Rattus norvegicus: one gene and its partners. The protein of the gene in region 3 binds, or shares a complex with, the protein of the main gene of each other region. Links are inferred from orthologs where the notes say so. Each region holds a gene or a part of one and is shown on either strand. Other genes may lie near its edges. The genes, in order: Rho, Unc119, Gnat1 and Pde6g.

Evidence for each region.
Region 1: the proteins of Gnat1 (region 3) and Rho are in contact, whole or in part, in a cryo-EM structure (PDB 6OYA), measured with the Bos taurus proteins. The link is inferred for Rattus norvegicus from reciprocal best matches to the Homo sapiens genes GNAT1 and RHO. Residues at the interface, in NP_851365.1 of Bos taurus: Ala27, Arg28, Asp189, Leu190, Val312, Glu314, Tyr316, Asp333, Ala334, Asp337, Ile340, Lys341, Asn343, Leu344, Lys345, Asp346, Cys347, Gly348, Leu349, Phe350; in NP_001014890.1 of Bos taurus: Leu72, Arg135, Val138, Val139, Lys141, Ser144, Asn145, Phe146, Arg147, Val230, Ala233, Gln236, Gln237, Ser240, Thr242, Thr243, Lys245, Ala246, Glu249, Val250, Met253, Met257, Asn310, Lys311, Gln312.
Region 2: the proteins of Gnat1 (region 3) and Unc119 are in contact, whole or in part, in a crystal structure (PDB 3RBQ), measured with the Homo sapiens proteins. The link is inferred for Rattus norvegicus from reciprocal best matches to the Homo sapiens genes GNAT1 and UNC119. Residues at the interface, in NP_000163.2 of Homo sapiens: Gly2, Ala3, Gly4, Ala5, Ser6, Ala7, Glu8; in NP_005139.1 of Homo sapiens: Asp87, Phe88, Val89, Arg90, Phe91, Ile105, Lys106, Lys107, Gly126, Arg127, Phe128, Val129, Tyr131, Phe137, Val147, Glu163, Leu172, Ser218, Tyr220, Asn230.
Region 4: the proteins of Gnat1 (region 3) and Pde6g are in contact, whole or in part, in a cryo-EM structure (PDB 7JSN), measured with the Bos taurus proteins. The link is inferred for Rattus norvegicus from reciprocal best matches to the Homo sapiens genes GNAT1 and PDE6G. Residues at the interface, in NP_851365.1 of Bos taurus: Ser140, Arg201, Arg204, Lys205, Trp207, Ile208, Phe211, Asp227, Val229, Glu235, Val236, Asn237, His240, Glu241, His244, Leu245, Ser248, Ile249, Ile281, Phe283, Glu305, Leu306, Met308; in NP_776846.1 of Bos taurus: Arg36, Gln37, Phe38, Lys39, Ser40, Lys41, Pro42, Pro43, Lys45, Leu60, Val66, Ile67, Cys68, Pro69, Trp70, Glu71, Phe73, Asn74, His75, Leu76, Glu77, Leu78.

The regions. Positions count from the first base shown.
Region 1 is NC_086022.1:150,656,176-150,658,897, reverse strand, and holds the end of Rho (rhodopsin), read right to left. Parts: intron 2,460-2,722; coding exon 2,294-2,459; intron 2,195-2,293; coding exon 1,955-2,194; intron 1,005-1,954; coding exon 894-1,004; 3' UTR 531-893; downstream 1-530. UniProt on the Homo sapiens protein: Photoreceptor required for image-forming vision at low light intensity. Required for photoreceptor cell viability after birth.
Region 2 is NC_086028.1:63,734,773-63,738,852, reverse strand, and holds the start of Unc119 (protein unc-119 homolog A), read right to left. Parts: upstream 2,855-4,080; 5' UTR 2,821-2,854; coding exon 2,601-2,820; intron 2,484-2,600; exon of another isoform or gene 1,660-2,483; coding exon of another isoform or gene 1,653-1,659; intron 1-1,652. UniProt on the Homo sapiens protein: Involved in synaptic functions in photoreceptor cells, the signal transduction in immune cells as a Src family kinase activator, endosome recycling, the uptake of bacteria and endocytosis, protein trafficking in sensory neurons and as lipid-binding chaperone with specificity for a diverse subset of myristoylated proteins.
Region 3 is NC_086026.1:117,231,484-117,235,807, reverse strand, and holds the start of Gnat1 (guanine nucleotide-binding protein G(t) subunit alpha-1), read left to right. Parts: upstream 1-1,496; 5' UTR 1,497-1,556; coding exon 1,557-1,662; exon of another isoform or gene 1,663-2,330; intron 2,331-2,992; coding exon 2,993-3,035; intron 3,036-3,147; coding exon 3,148-3,289; intron 3,290-3,381; coding exon 3,382-3,539; intron 3,540-3,544; exon of another isoform or gene 3,545-3,646; coding exon 3,647-3,775; exon of another isoform or gene 3,776-3,988; coding exon 3,989-4,118; exon of another isoform or gene 4,119-4,282; coding exon 4,283-4,324. UniProt on the Homo sapiens protein: Functions as a signal transducer for the rod photoreceptor RHO. Required for normal RHO-mediated light perception by the retina.
Region 4 is NC_086028.1:106,221,684-106,226,038, forward strand, and holds the start of Pde6g (retinal rod rhodopsin-sensitive cGMP 3',5'-cyclic phosphodiesterase subunit gamma), read right to left. Parts: upstream 2,814-4,355; 5' UTR 2,773-2,813; intron 2,587-2,772; exon of another isoform or gene 2,521-2,586; intron 489-2,520; 5' UTR 413-488; coding exon 267-412; intron 1-266.

The DNA of each region.
Region 1 (2,722 bases), on a different chromosome or scaffold from region 3:
TCTGTGATCCAGCTCCATTTCTACACAGGCCTGAAGGTCTGGTTCATTTGTAAAAGCCTACTGAGGCTGGGGGAAATACCTTATCTGAGTGCTTAGGCCCTGCCCAACTCCCAAGCAGTCACTAATAAGCAGAGACCATTAAGATGGCTAATTAATTATATTAGTTGGTGTTACCTGTAACACAACTACCAGTTTTGCTCTTTATATACAAAGTGTTTGCACACACACATACACACACACTCACACACTCACACAATTTTCTCTGTGTGTCTCCCTTCCTTCCTCCTTCTTTCTCCTTCCCTTCATCTGTCTTTGAAGCAGCCACATTCTGTCAGGGCCCCGGATTTGGGAGATCCCATCTGGGGTGGGGGTGGGGTGCAGAGAAAACCAGGGCAGGTATGTAAAACAGTGTACAGATTCCAGTCAAACATGACTAGGTCTGCCAGGTTGGGCACCTGAGGACATCCATGTTCCCGTCTGTTAATCCCTTCACTCATATATCCACTCATTCAGTCACTCATTCCTCCCTTCATCCAGGTAGCATTTATTAATCAGCTACTATGTGTTCCATTCTGTCCTAGACACTTAGCCGTAAGCCGGGACACTTGTCATGTTCCTGAGACACAAGCTGAGGGGAGGGGTACAGATCCCGCTGGCCCCCGGGAATTGGGGACTCCAGGCTGGGGGTCTTGGTGGATGGATGTCCTTTGTCAGGCTGTCCCTGTTGAGTGGGGAGCCTCATTTTGCTTTCATGAATTCATTAAAAACAAAGAAAAGAACACTGAGGGAGCCTGCATGACCTCATTCCAACGGGTGCTGCTCCTGGTGGGGGCTGTGGCTGGGGTGAGTGGGGACAGGAGACTCCTACAGTCAGCCACAGTCTCTGGCCAGGCTTAGGCTGGAGCCACCTGGCTGGTCTCCGTCTTGGAGGCAGTGGCAGAGGCCTCATCATCTCCCAGTGGATTCTTGCCGCAGCAGAGCGTGGTGAGCATGCAGTTCCGGAACTGGAAGACAAGAGGCACCAGTCAGGACAGGGCCCTACCACTCCACTCCCTCAACCCCACCTCCAGCAAGTCCCCTCCCTAAGCCTGGCTCCCTGGGGGAGCGTGCTAAATGTATGTTGCCCTTCAACCAGAGATGCCAGGAACACAGCACGAGGGGGTTGTCAAATGACATCCCATGTGTCCTGTGGATGAGTAGGACCTTGTGATCTTATCTAATTTGAGAATTTGTGATTTGTGATTTATTTCCTATAAATAAACAGGGAAACTGAAGCCCAGATCTGACTTACCCAAGGTCACACAGCCTGCATGTGGCAAAACTAGAACTGGAACCCAGAGTCTAGGTCTAGAGACCACATCCTTTTCTGCAGGGAAACTGTGACTTTTAACAGCGGCTTAATCCCGTTCTTCCCAGAACTAGCAATTTCTACAGCTTTACAGTGAGACCATTCTATTCCCAGCCTTGGAACTACCTGACATTTCCTGGTTACTTCTTAAGACAGACTGTCATGTAGCCCAGGTTGGCCCCCAAATCACTGTATTGCCAAAGATAGCTTTGAATTTCTAATCTGCCCACTTCAGCATCCTGAGCACGGAGATACAGCAGTATGCTCACAGCCTGCTTTGGGCGAGGGGGACACACATCCACTATCTAGCCCAGGCTGACCTGGAGCTCAAGATCCTACTGCCTCAGGATTAAGATTACAAACATGGGCGATTGCACCTGGCTTCTAGCTGACTTCTAAAGCTGACTTCCAGAACCATCTGGTCAGGTGTATCTCACAGGACAGGATGGCAGGTCACCCAGAGGACTTACTCCATGAGACGGGGGGATCACCAGCCTGAGAGATCATGGCCTGACAGCAGTCTGAGTGGACCGCCTTCCCTGCCCTCCCCTCCCCTTCCATTCTCTCCCTCCCTCTCCACAAGCCCTGCCTCGACCCAGGCAGCACCTGCTTGTTCATCATGATGTAGATGATTGGGTTGTAGATGGAGGCGGTCTTAGCAAAGAAAGCGGGAAGGGTCATGAAGATGGGGCCGAAGTTGGAGCCCTGGTGGGTAAAGATGTACATGGCCACACTGGCATAGGGAAGCCAGCAGATCAGGAAGAAGATGACCATGATGATGACCATGCGCGTGACTTCCTTCTCTGCCTTCTGAGTGGTAGCCGACTCCTGTTGCTGGGCGGCGGCCTGCAGGGGGACAGACCTGTGTCTAGCCCGAGGGGTCCATGCAAACCCTGGCACCCACCCGGCTCTGGCCACCCAGCCCCAGGGTGGCCCCACTCATGCCTCCTTGACGGTGAAGACCAGCTGCCCGTAGCAGAAGAAGATGACGATCATGGGGATGGTGAAGTGGACCACGAACATGTAGATGACGAAGGACTCATTGTTGACCTCAGGCTTGAGTGTATAGTAGTCAATCCCACATGAACACTGCATGCCCTCGGGGATGTACCTAAGGGTGATAAAGCAGGGAGAAAACACATGCCCAGCCGGACATAAGTGTGGGGTTCCTGGAGGCTACAGTTTCTGTGGGCCTAGGGAAGCATGGTTATTACCTGCTGGCCCCATCGCCAGGTGAGACTTAGCTTCTCTGCCCTCAGACAACTCTCAAGCTCCCTGTCACTTAGTCACACAGCTCTCCTCTCCAGCCTGCTGCCCTTTGGTGGTTACATGAGTAGGCAGAGGATGCTGGGGAGGGGAGCTGAGGCCTTCCCT
Region 2 (4,080 bases), on a different chromosome or scaffold from region 3:
GGAACCCTTAGAGGTCATCTTTCCAGCCCTGGCCCTGAGCCAACCTCAGGAATAAAGTGCTCTCTGGTTTAGAGAAAAGAACACAGAAAGGATGCGGTGGGCACAGCAGGTGCCACAGGGATGAGGCAAGGAGAGTCCTGGGCTCAGAAGGAAGCCAGGAGAGCTAAGCGTTGCCTAAGGGAGTTAGTTCATGGTCTAACCCTTACCACTCTTTTGTCACCGTTTTTTTTTTAAGCCAGGGTTCCATGTCGCCTAGCTAACCTCAAACTCACTACTCGGCAGATGCTGGCCTTGAACTCCCGGTCTTCCTGCTTCATAAAACTTACACCAAGTCCTAGGGGGAGGCCCTGGCAAGAAGTAGGAAGGTACAGAAGAAGGCTGTGGAGGCTTGGGTGCTGCCAGCCTCCACTGTGTACCACATCCTCCCCGCTGACCTTCAGAGGCCCGGAAGTCACCCTCCAGGCCCCTGGGCCACCCCCTATTCCTCTGTGGTTGAAAAAGGAAGTGAATATAAAGCCATTTTCTCTTCCTTAGGCCTGTCTCCTCCTCAAGCCAGGGGGGGAGCCCCCTCCAGGAAGCCCTCCTGACAGCGCCTCTAGCACCTTGGAGCTGAGGTCTGAGATAAAGCTATAAAAAGACGCTGCAGAGCAAAAGGAGAAGAGGGGGCAGAATTGGAAGCAGGATCCTAGTCGTCCAACTCCCAGGAAAAGCTGCCTTTCTCACTGCAGGCCCAGCCTAGGACCCTCTCCTCTCACCCGGAACAACCTCTCACACTCAGTCTCTTACACTGCAAACTCAACTTGTGGGACTCTCTGTCCTTACAAGGAGCGAGGATCAGGGGCTGCCTAGGAAGGCAGCCACTTCCTCTCCTCAGCCAAGAAAAACCAGGCCCAGGACCCAAGGTCAGGCCAGAGTAGTTGAGCAGCGGTGGCTCAGAACCCACCTGGTCTCTTCCTTGAAGCCACAAATAGCTTCCTAAGCTGGATTCAGGGCCTGGTAATCCAGGAACAGCAAACCTCAGACCTATGTGATTAGGGTCACAAGATGGCAGGCAAGGTGGAGGAGAGGCTTGGAACCCTGTTTTCAAATGCTGCACAGCACAGGGCTCTCAAGAGGCACTTGTCTTTGCTCATCCTCTGTAGGCTATGAATTCCCTCCAGGTTGGGAGACACTGTGACTTCACCTGGAAGCTTCCTTCGTTGCAAAATAAGCCTCCAGTTATCCAGGACTGGGACAAGTGAGCCTGCCCTCCACCCACAGGGCTAAGCTAAGCTAAGCTGTAAGGGCTGCTATTACAAAATGCAGCCCACTGGCTTCAACATCAGCCTGGTCGAGGCCCCTCCCTCCCTCCCTCCACTGATGCCTGCTTGGCCAAGGGAGCAAGTGCTCTGGAGGTCTAGCCAAGAATGCTGCTGCCTAGCCCTGGAAGGAGGAGGGAGGCCCCCAGGGACCCAGATGTACAGGCCTGTCATCCTGGTCCCCTCCACAGCTATCTGGGAGCCCTGGCCTCTGTTGCTCCTGGGGCTAGAGAGGGTTTACTTCCACACTAGCACCCATGTCCATCCCATTAGAAAGGGAACACAAACGGAGCCAGAGCAGGTTGCCGGTGACCCATCCATTCCAAGGCAACGTGTCACTGTCTCTTCAAATACCTTCCATTCTTCAAGGCTCAGCCAACCTCTCGCCAGAAGACTCTCTAGTTGTTCACTGTGGTAATGCCTGCCTTTGCCCTGAATGCTCACTTATCTGCCTGCAGGCAGCCACTCTGAACAGTCCTGTGTGGCTTCCAACGCTGCTGATAAAGGAGCTGACAGCATGCATAGCATGCCAAGCATTGTCCAAAATCAGAAGACTGGCTCTATTTTCATAATAACCTTGAGGGAGGTAACATTGTTCGTGTTCCCATTTTACAGATGAAAAGGAAACATGCTCCTGCAAATGAAATTGCATCCCCAAGGTCACACAGCCAATTACAGGGCAAACTCTGGGACTCTGAAAACTCAGCTCTAGTGGAGACTAGGCTTCCCTTGATGAGAGAGCCCCAGAAAAAGAACAAGTCCTGGCTTGGGGGGCACACACTTGTTTCCATGACACGGCCCACAGCTAACATAGGGAAGCACACTCTCTGATCAATAACGTTCCTGGGCAGAGTATGGCCTCAGCCCTCATTGGGGAAACAGGGCAATAACGGTCAGGGAGCCTGTGGGTTTTCCTTGCCTCCACCTAGCCTGAGGTGGCCACTTTAGACAGACTGCAACGAGGCACACTCCTCTGTGCGAGCAGCCTCAAAGGGTTCCGAAGACTCCACAGGGGAAAGGGTTACAGATGCAGCTGCTGCCCCACCTCCACCATGGGAAAAGGGGTGGGCCCCTTGAAAAAGAAGGAGTGGGGTGAAAAGAAGCCACTACAAGGAGAGTAGGGGCGCAAGGGAAAGAGCGTGGAGATTTCAGACTTGGAGGCAGGGAGAGAGAGAGAGAGTAAGGGGACACAGAGGAGGGGCATTGCGTGGGGGAGGGGTGGGGGCCGGACTCTGAGCCTCGTGGGCCCCCTCCCGCGCTCTCCCTCCAGCCCGCGGGTGGCGCTCCCTCGCCGGTGCTCACCGCCGGTGATCCGCTGCAGCCCCAGCACGTCCTCCGGCCCGATGGGCTGCTTGCCCTGCAGCGGCCCCAGTCTGGGCCCCGGGCCTGGCTCCGGCTCCGACTCGGACCCGGACTCGGCTTCCGCCCCAGGCTCCCGCGTGGGCTCCACGCTCCGGTTCGAGGCCCCAGGAACGGGCTCCGCCCCCGGTCCGGTCCCGCCGCCGCCCTTCTTCACCTTCATGGCCTCGCGGGGCCGCAGATCCTCGCCCGCTGCCACCGCCGCCGCTGCTTGCGCCGGCTGGAGCCAGGGGAAGGGGGAGCGTCCGCCGCCCCACCCCCGGCCGGGCCCCAGGTGCCGTCCCGCCTTGGTCACGCCCACAGGAGGCGGGTCACACATGCCCCGCCCACCGTCTGGCTTTTCCAGCGGTGGAGCCAGAATCCTGGGGGTCCTTGTGAACTTTTTGACAATGTAGATACGGAATACCTCTCCTCTTTCTCTCTGGGTTCCAGCCGCAAGGTCTTTCCCTGATAGCGTTACCCTGCCTTCAGCCCAAGTCTTAACCTCCCACCCCCACCCAGTTCTAAAGTACTTCCCCTCAATTTCCAGCTAACCAGCCTGTTTTTGGTTTTCTTGTTTGTTTGTTTGTTTGTTTGTTTGTTTGTTTTGGGGTAATGCATTAAATGAAATTATTTGTTTGTTCCCTGACCCTTCCTACACTCTGTTCCTCATAACACCCAGCACTAGCACACTGCTTCTTGTAGCCAGTCCCCAGTACTTTCCTCCGTTGAACTGAGTTACTATCCCAGGGCTGTCACTGGCTCAAGCTACTCCCCACTAGAACTCTGGCTAAATAGCTGATTCTGGCACCCAATAGGCAGGCACCATAGCCCAGGTGTCGAGCCATCCAGGCTGCTCAGGACAGTGAGGCAGGAAGAACATAGCCAGGTCGGGCATGGGGGACCTGTGAGCTAGAGCAGAACCGTCTGCTTCTCACACAAGGACGAGTCATACATCAACTCATATTCAACCAATGTTTATTGATGGCCTAATGTATATTTCTAAAGAGCCCAATATACAGAACACTTTTACACACTTATTACATTTAATCCAACCCCCTTCTGAGGGTGACATCATAGTGCTTTCTCACAGAGGAAAACCTGAGGCTCAGTGAGGAGCAGCTTATCAAGCACTCTCCAGTCCGTTAAGTGCAGAAGCCGGAATCTGATTCAGGCCTGTTGGGTTCCAAGTCAGAAATGTTTTCTCCTGTTCCACACTACCTCTGAAACGGTAGAGGGGAACCTTAGCCACAGGCAGAAGAAGCAGGTCCTAAGCCACTGCCTCCTAAACCAGGCTGTCCCCAATGGTGACACCAATCAGGAAGCTGAGGAAGGAGGGAGACGGTCTCAGAAGTGGAGAGGATGGGGCTACAATTCAACCCAAGGATTCCCCTAAATTCACCTCTCTGCATAAGTATGCAGTGCTGACAGACTGGAAGGACAA
Region 3 (4,324 bases):
CTAGCACCCACCCCCTTGTAGTCTGTCACAGAGTTGAGTCTGGTTTCAGGAAAGGGGTTCTAGACCAGCAGAGGGAGCCCAAGATAAGGTTTCCAACTTTAGAGTCACAAACCGACTTTAGCACCTAGCTGCTCAGCACAGCAGACTCCAGACTTCAACTGCTACCCCTGACCCCTGAGTAAAGGCTGTCAGGTTATAGTGGCACCCTATGTAGCCCCCACATTATGAGTGAGACCCCACTCTTCCGTACTCTGGGGTGCTCCAAGTCTGCAATAGACTTGCCAAAAATACACTGAATCTAGCCACCTCTATAGTGGTCTTTGTTGCACCTAAATGCACATGCACACCCAGACATGTGCATGGGCTGGCACAGACAAGCATGTATGCACACGTAGGGACACAGGTGTGCATCTAAATACTTAGGCAAGTGCACTGTAGTGCGAACACCATAGTTGCCTGTATTTGAACGCTCAGGCACACGTGCACAGCTGTGAATCCACACAAAGCACAGCACAGTGAACACACAAACACCGGTGCCTACACAGAGAAATGCACAAGATGCTGGAGATGCAGCCTGGCAGTGAAGCACATGTGTAGCACGCAGGAATCCCTAGATTTGACCTTCAGCGTGTACACACACAGGGCACCAGTTTACATGCACACATTGCATGCATAGCCATGCAAACAGGTATGTAAGGGCACGTGCACTTAAAAAGCTACTAACAGGTACACATACATGCAGATAACAGGTACACATACATGCAGGTAACAGGTTCACATACATGCGGAATACAGGCCCCAGTGTGTCTACTCATTACTTCGCTTGATCCTAGTAAGGAACGGAAAGACACACACAGGCCTGTATGTGTAGCAGACTCACCCATCCACCAGCAGAGGACATGTTAGAAGGGTCACATTTAACCCTGAGCGTGAGGCAAACAGAAAGTCACCTATTCCCTCCTGGCTCCTGGGAGGCACAGAACCCTCTGATCTGGAGACACCCCACTCTTCTAAGCCACTGCCAATTATGTGACCCTGTCAGCTGCTCCTAATCAGTAAAATGGGGCTGTGATTTGGGCACCACCTTCCTCCAAGTTCATGTAAGCCTACAGCATAAGGAGTGGTGACCTCAGCTGGGCAAGCAGGAGGTCCTCTGGGCCAGCTTCTCCAGTCTCCTGCCAGCCCTGCTCCCAGTCCCACCACTTCTGTGCTAAAGGGTCTGTTCCCTCAATTCCACCAAATAAATGCATATAGGACGGGGGAAGGACTCTCTAGGATCTCTTCTGGAGAACTGGAGGGGGGTAAAGGGGTGCCAAGTCAGCAGTTGATGGATTGGGGCCTTGCCAGACTGATTAAAAGGCTAGGAGACTGAGCTTCACCTGTCCTTGTCTCTGATTGGCCCTCAGGCAACCCTAACTCTCAAATCCCACTGAGCAATCCCACCAGGGCCTGTGCAGGTCTGTGGAAGCGCCAGTTGACTGCTGGCTTTGGGGCCAGAAGGTTGTCTGAGGAGGCCAGAGGCTGCCTACCCTGTCCCTTTGCCTGCTGCTGGGACCATGGGGGCTGGGGCCAGCGCTGAGGAGAAGCACTCCAGAGAGCTGGAAAAGAAGCTGAAAGAAGACGCTGAGAAGGACGCACGGACCGTGAAGCTGCTGCTTCTGGGTAGGGGTGCGGGCCAGTGTTAGAAGGGGACAGCTGTGGGTCAGCGGCCTGGGGCTGGACAAAGAGCCTTTCCTTAAAGCAGGGATTCCTTTGGGGAAGAATGACAGTGTGGTGGGGCAGAGAGCACAGAGCGAGCCATTCCCAGGCAAGGCCTGACAGGTGATGGATGTCCTAGTCCCCCAAGGCGATGTACTTGGGGCAACTTCCTTTTTTTTTTTCTTTTTTTTTTCTTTTTTTCTTTTTTTCGGAGCTGGGGACCGAACCCAGGGCCTTGTGCTTGCTAGGCAAGCGCTCTACCGCTGAGCTAAATCCCCAACCCCACTTGGGGCAACTTCTTGAGGACACCCTGAAGTGTATACCAAACACACCGTTGTATAAATGTGTGTCTTCAGACACATTTTTGCCCTTGAGCTATAGCCTATGGTTTTCCAGGCCTGCTCAGCTCTTCTTTCTCCCTTGGGAATGAGGTCTGAGAATAACTCTTGGATCACCAGGTCCACAAAGGCACTGGGTGCCAGAGCGTGGTCATCGGTAGACCCGTGAAACAGCTTTAAAAAGTGGAACGATGCCAGGCAGTGGTGGTCTATGCCTTCAGTCCCAGCACTGGGAGGCAGAAACAAGTGAATCTCTGAGTCTGAGGCTAGCTTGGAGTTCCAGAACAGCCATGCCTACACAAAAGAAAAAAAGAACGTGGAAAAATAGTGAAGCCTACATGGGATAAATAAAGCTGATCCCATGATCCCATGGATATTGAGGGGAGATGGGGGGACTGCCATTGCTTAATTCAACAGAAAGTCACTGTTTCAGAAGGACAGGCAGAGGTACTAAGCCAGAGCCCTAGGAGAAAGGCCACGGCTAAGCCGGAAATCCCATTAATTGTATCCAGCACCCTTAAGGAGCTGCAGGCTCAGGAAGGATGTCAGTTCTGTCCTCTCCCCCACCTAAGGATGCTAATTCCCTCTGAGCCTCTCAGAGACACCTCCCTAGGAAAAGCAGAGGCTGCCGGTCCCATTCAGATAATCTTGTGCATGCAGTACTGACCAACTCCACAAGGTGGCACTAGAGGGTTCCTTATTTTGGTCTCAACATAATTAAGACTTTATACATCAGAGTCTTGGGAAACCTCCTTCCCTCTGGGCACAGTTGAGGTCACTCAACAGATGTAGGTCCCCTTTGTCACCTACAACCATTTTCTTCAGCGGTCTTAAAGGCTTTACTTTGACTAGAGATGAGGGCAATTGTATCTAGAGATCTAGTTGGCACCCTAAGGCTCTGATCCAAAAGAAGTGGTGGTTAGTGCGGCTCTGAAGCACCACCTCTTTCCTTTCAGGTGCGGGTGAATCCGGGAAAAGCACTATTGTCAAGCAGATGAAGTGAGTGTTCCCTGTCCATCCTAAGGCCCCTGGTGGTGGGCGGGTACATGCACATTAGAACCTGTCCTTTCCTACCGACCCTGGAGACTGACTTTGCTGGTCTTGGCTGTAGGATTATCCACCAGGACGGGTATTCGCTGGAAGAATGCCTCGAGTTCATCGCCATCATCTATGGCAACACTCTGCAGTCCATCCTGGCCATCGTGAGGGCTATGACCACGCTCAACATTCAGTATGGAGATTCGGCTCGGCAGGTGAGGCTGGAGGCAGGCTGATGTTAGGCTTCGAGGGCTCGTGGCAACTGGCTAGGCTCAGATTCACAACCACTACCTTGCCCTACCCCCAGGACGATGCCCGGAAGCTGATGCACATGGCGGATACTATTGAGGAAGGCACAATGCCCAAGGAGATGTCAGACATCATTCAGCGCCTGTGGAAGGACTCCGGTATCCAAGCTTGCTTTGACCGAGCCTCAGAATACCAACTCAATGACTCTGCTGGCTAGTGAGTACACCAGTGGATGCCAGGGGGCAGAGGGGGTGGGTGGGCAGGACCCTGCTGGTGTGAACACCCACGCCACTCACCCACTCATACTGGGTGGTCTTCTTCAGCTACCTTTCAGACCTAGAGCGTCTGGTGACTCCAGGATACGTGCCCACTGAGCAGGATGTGTTGCGTTCTCGTGTCAAAACCACTGGTATTATCGAGACTCAATTTTCCTTCAAGGACCTCAACTTCAGGTAAGACCCCTGCTCTAAGAGCTCAGCTGGCCTGACCGGAACTTCACTGTCTTGAGTGAAGGTCCTACCTTTGCCAGGAGAAAGGCCGGCCATTTCAGATGCCAAGTGGTATGAGGGCTCTCCAGCCAGCTTAGGATGACAAAAGGGTAACAGTGGGCATATCCAGGTGACCTGATACACCGGTCTAAATCTGGACCTGGCTATGCCTGACAGAATGTTCGATGTGGGCGGGCAGCGTTCTGAGCGCAAAAAGTGGATCCACTGCTTTGAGGGTGTGACGTGCATCATTTTCATCGCTGCGCTGAGCGCTTACGACATGGTGCTGGTGGAGGACGACGAAGTGGTGAGTTGGGCCTGAATGTTTGAGAAGGGAGGTGGAGCCTGGGGGAGCCAGTGAGACTCACGAAAACAGAAGTTGTCTGGGAGCGGTTAGTGTCGGGAGGTCAGGGACCAAGGGACAGCAGCGACCTGTGTAGCCTGGTGCCCAACAGCCGCTCCCCTCCCCAGAACCGAATGCACGAGAGCCTGCACCTGTTCAACAGCATCTGC
Region 4 (4,355 bases), on a different chromosome or scaffold from region 3:
AGTGCTGGGGGTGCACACATATACCCTAGGAGGGAGTCTGTTTCCCAGATCTGCCTGGCTGCAGCACCTGGAGTCAATGATAGGCCCTTGGTGCCCCCAGCACTCCTGAGGGCCCAGTCATAAGAATGAGGACACACTCAAAGAGCCCCACCCCAGCCTCCACCTTGTCCTCCCATACAGCCCGGGCAGTGTTCTCGTTCTGTGAGAGGCTGCAGCCCAAGAAGAGTGCTCTTTCTACGAGAGACTCCCTTCTGATGCTTGCTTACCCTTGCACGCCTTTCTTGGGGGGCTTGCTCTTGAACTGCCTTGTTTGCCGCTGCTTAAATTTAGGTGGTCCTTTCCTGGGGGTGACCGGCCCTCCCATCACCCGTGTGGCTGACCGAATCTCACTCTTGGGTGGCTCCAGGTTCATGATGAGGCCGGCAGAGACACTGCAGTGACCCTTAGCTTCTGGACTCTGTCAGGCTGGACTGGACTCCTCATGCAGGCTAGGGAAGACCAGACAGATCCCCGTTAGCTCCCTTGCTCACGCTAACAACTTTGGGAGCAGAGAGGGCTGACACCCAGGAGCTGTCCCGCTCCAGAGAACCACCTTCCCACCTCCACCAATCCTTCTTCACTCCTTCTGCCTGGTACCCTCAGACACCTCCCATTGCTAGCAGCCACATACAGCCCTTGCAGCTATCCCATACTCCAAATCCACATCAAGCCAACTTTTTGGCCCCTCCATATGTCCTAAACCCGGACATTTTACTACCCCCCACCCCTTGCAGGTAGTCACTGACCACCCTTGCTTGTTCCCCACCCCCTCCTACACACTGGAATCTGATCCAGCCTTGTCACTCTGTTGAAAGCCTTCTGAAGATGCCTGGGACTGATACAAAGGACATTCCCTCCTGATCCTGCCCTGTGCCTCACAGCCACTTGCCTTCCCTTCCGGGTGGTCAGCCACAGACTGCTCTCACTAGTTCCAGGACCTTTCTCAGGAAAGGAAGGCCTCCTCTACCTCATGTTGTTCTGTATTTATTTCTTCATGCCATATCCTGGCAAATTATCTATCTATCTATCTATCTATCTATCTATCTATCATCTATCTACTTACTACTTTCTTTTTTGTCTTTCTTTAAAGATTTATTTATTATATATATTATAACTATACTGTAGCTGTCTTCAGACACACCAGAAGAAGGCATCAGATCCCATTACAGATGGTTTTGAGCCACCATGTGGTTGCCGGGATTTGAACTCAGGACCTCTGAAAGAGTAGTTGGTGCTCTTTAACCTCTGAGCCATCATCTCTCCAGCCCCATCTATCTACTTTCTATCTGTCTGTCTGTCTGTCTATCTATCTATCTATCTATCTATCTATCTATCTATCTATCTATCTATCTACCTATCTACCTGAGGCAGGGTCTTTCTGTGTAGCCCTGGCTGTCCTGGAACTCTCTCGTAGACCAGGCTGGTCTCAAACTCAGAGATCCTGAGTGCTGGGAGTCAAGGCACTATTTACAGCCCCTGTAAGTACATTTGTTCATATTTATGTCCTTGTTGTGTTGGGCTTGTTGTCTATTTCTTGTGGTTGGACTTGGTGATGATAAAACCTCCACAAAATGGAACACAGAGCTGCCCTTGGGGCAGGGCTCTGCCTGTGAGCAACTGATGTGAGGACCTCTCATCTTCATGACTCTGAGACGGAATCGGGCCTCAAGGAGAGAGGTCACACAGGGATCCTCCTGGGCACAGAACGTGAGGCTGCTCACTGGATTGGGGCTTATTCTGGGTTGGGCGTCACCTCAGGGGCTGGTGTGGCTGAGCTGGCCTCTGACAGGATAGTCCCTCTTCTTCTCCCCAAACCGCTCCCCAGAAGCTCTAAGCCCCAGTGACCTTGGCCATTGACATCAGAGCTTTCTGTAATCCTATTAGTATCTGAAGGAGACTCCTAATCTCCCGGGGTTTCTAGCATAAACCTCATATGCTGCTGAATGTTCTGAGGCCATACAGGTGACCCAGACGGGGTTTCCCAAGGGACTACCTCTTTTTTTTTTTTTTTTTTTTTGGTTCTTTTTTTCGGAGCTGGGGACCGAACCCAGGGCCTTGCGCTTCCTAGGTAAGCGCTCTACCACTGAGCTAAATCCCCAGCCCCAAGGGACTGCCCTCAGTCTGATGAGGTATAGCATTGTCCAGTCTTAAGCCACTGGTTTTAGACCGTGGTTTGCTGGAGCATGAGGGCTGACAGAGAAGCATATATCTGTTGTAGACAACACCCCTCTCAGCCTAGTCACTCCCCTCTGTCATTCCTAGATTCGGCCTCTGTGCCTGAAGCCAGTACCAGCCTCGGAACAGGACTCAGGAACATAGGAGACCAGGCTGCTCAGTCCCTGGGGCACCCATCCTTACTTCCCAGTGGTAAAATACTTCTCCAAAGGCCTGGAACCCCTATGGGCAGCTGTTCCCTGACAGCTCCAGTGATCAGTGCTGTCTCCATGGAAACCGCGTTTGAGATGCCTAGCCGGGACTAACCTAAAGCTGGTGCCATTCAGTTGTACGGTCAGGTTGCCTTGATAACAGAGGAACTACCGTTTGGCACTGTGGAAAAGCAGAGCAGATGATCCATTGGTAGGATGTCCTTGCTAAAGGTCAAGGGAACAGGTCAGGCTCCTAAAAACTCAAGAGCTCAGCAGAGGTGGTAGACGCCTGTTAGCTTCCCCCAACCTAGGGTGAATGAGTTGATGCCTAGCAGTCAGAAAGGACACCAGGACAGGTTATACTCACCAAGCGTTGGACAGATCTCAGGGAGCCACAGGTGCCAGTCGTCTGGATCTGGATCAGCAGAGCACTGGCCTAGGAATTTATCCTTCTCCTGGTGAGCGGATTATGACTCTCTTCTCTGACATTACACTAATCAGATTGCTGGGCCCTGAGGGAGACACCACTGCCCAGGATGCTGGTGTTGGGCACAAGAGGTTCAGGCAGCCAGAGGTCTGAAGGAAGGACACTCAAGTCCGGTAGGTAGGGAAGAAAAGGAGAAATATGGCTTTCACTGGTTGTGAGGCTATGCCTCACATGTACATGGCCTCCAGAAACAGCTGGGCCACCTTCCAGACCGTCCTGCGCTGGGGTTATCCCTTGCTTTGTCCCACCCACTGAGGAATCCACTGATGGACTTCAATGCTCTGGGTAGCAGCCTCTATCCATGTTTTCCCCTTGCCTTTAAGCCCTGCCTCTTGGGTTTCAACTGCTGTGCATTTGATACTCTGGATTGCCCATTTCCTGTGCCTGTTCCTCTAGCTTCTTTCTCTGGGGCCTCTTGGGCTCTGCTGTAGTGTCTTAGGGTCACACCCGCAAGCAGGCTAAGACACCTATCAGATCAGCTTCTTCAAACTCATTCATACAAAGCTTCGATAGAATTGGGTTTTTGGTTTTGTTTTTTTTTCTATTTCTTTTTAAAGACATGGTCTTATGGTAAAAAAGAAAATGATGGTGCGACCGGTTCCTGCAAGTACCTGGGCGGTCGCCCTCTCCCTAGTTTGGATTCTGGCTGGCCATAGGAACTAGCGCTAATTTATCTCAGCAGCTCCATGCTGGCCCCCATGGTACTCTGTGAGCCGGGTGGATGGTCCAAAAGTTGTTCCAGCTGTTTTGCTTTCATTCACAGTTCCCTTGGCGAGTTGTTACCACGCCGGCATACACATCCCAATTCCGCTGTGGGTTCTGTGTGCCCTGCCACCGCACCTTCTCTTGAACCCAATTAAGTCGCCACATGAACTAACACACCACACAATAACCTCTGATCCAATTGATAAGATAGAATTTGCCCATCTAGACAGCATAAAATCCTGTACACACCCATCCCTTAAAAATATTCATTACAACCTGTATCTATGTGCAGAGAAGAATCTTAACATCGGCTGCCATGTTCTCCCAGCTCCTTCTTTTTTTTTTTTTTTTGGTTCTTTTTTCGGAGCTGGGGACCGAACCCAGGGCCTTGCGCTTCCTAGGCAAGCACTCTACCACTGAGATAAATCCCCAACCCCTGTCCCAGCTCCTTCTAAAACCTCTGTTCCCACCTCCCTTCCTTCTCATCCAATGACAGGCCTCATTTTATCTTGTCTGCCCTCACCTGCATAATTGTATCAACCTACAATGTAGTCCCAGGCTGGCCTCAAATCATAAGCTAAGGATGGTCTTGAACTCCTTGCCAACACAGCCAGCTCTGCAATATTCTTGTCTTAACCTTTGTCTTCTACACGGAAGTGGTATAGCAGGCATATTATACTGCTGGTGTCTTGGCCACCGTGGGGCGCTTTGCAGATGCTTGGTGATTAAATTGGGGATTAAATTGACAGAGGAAAGAT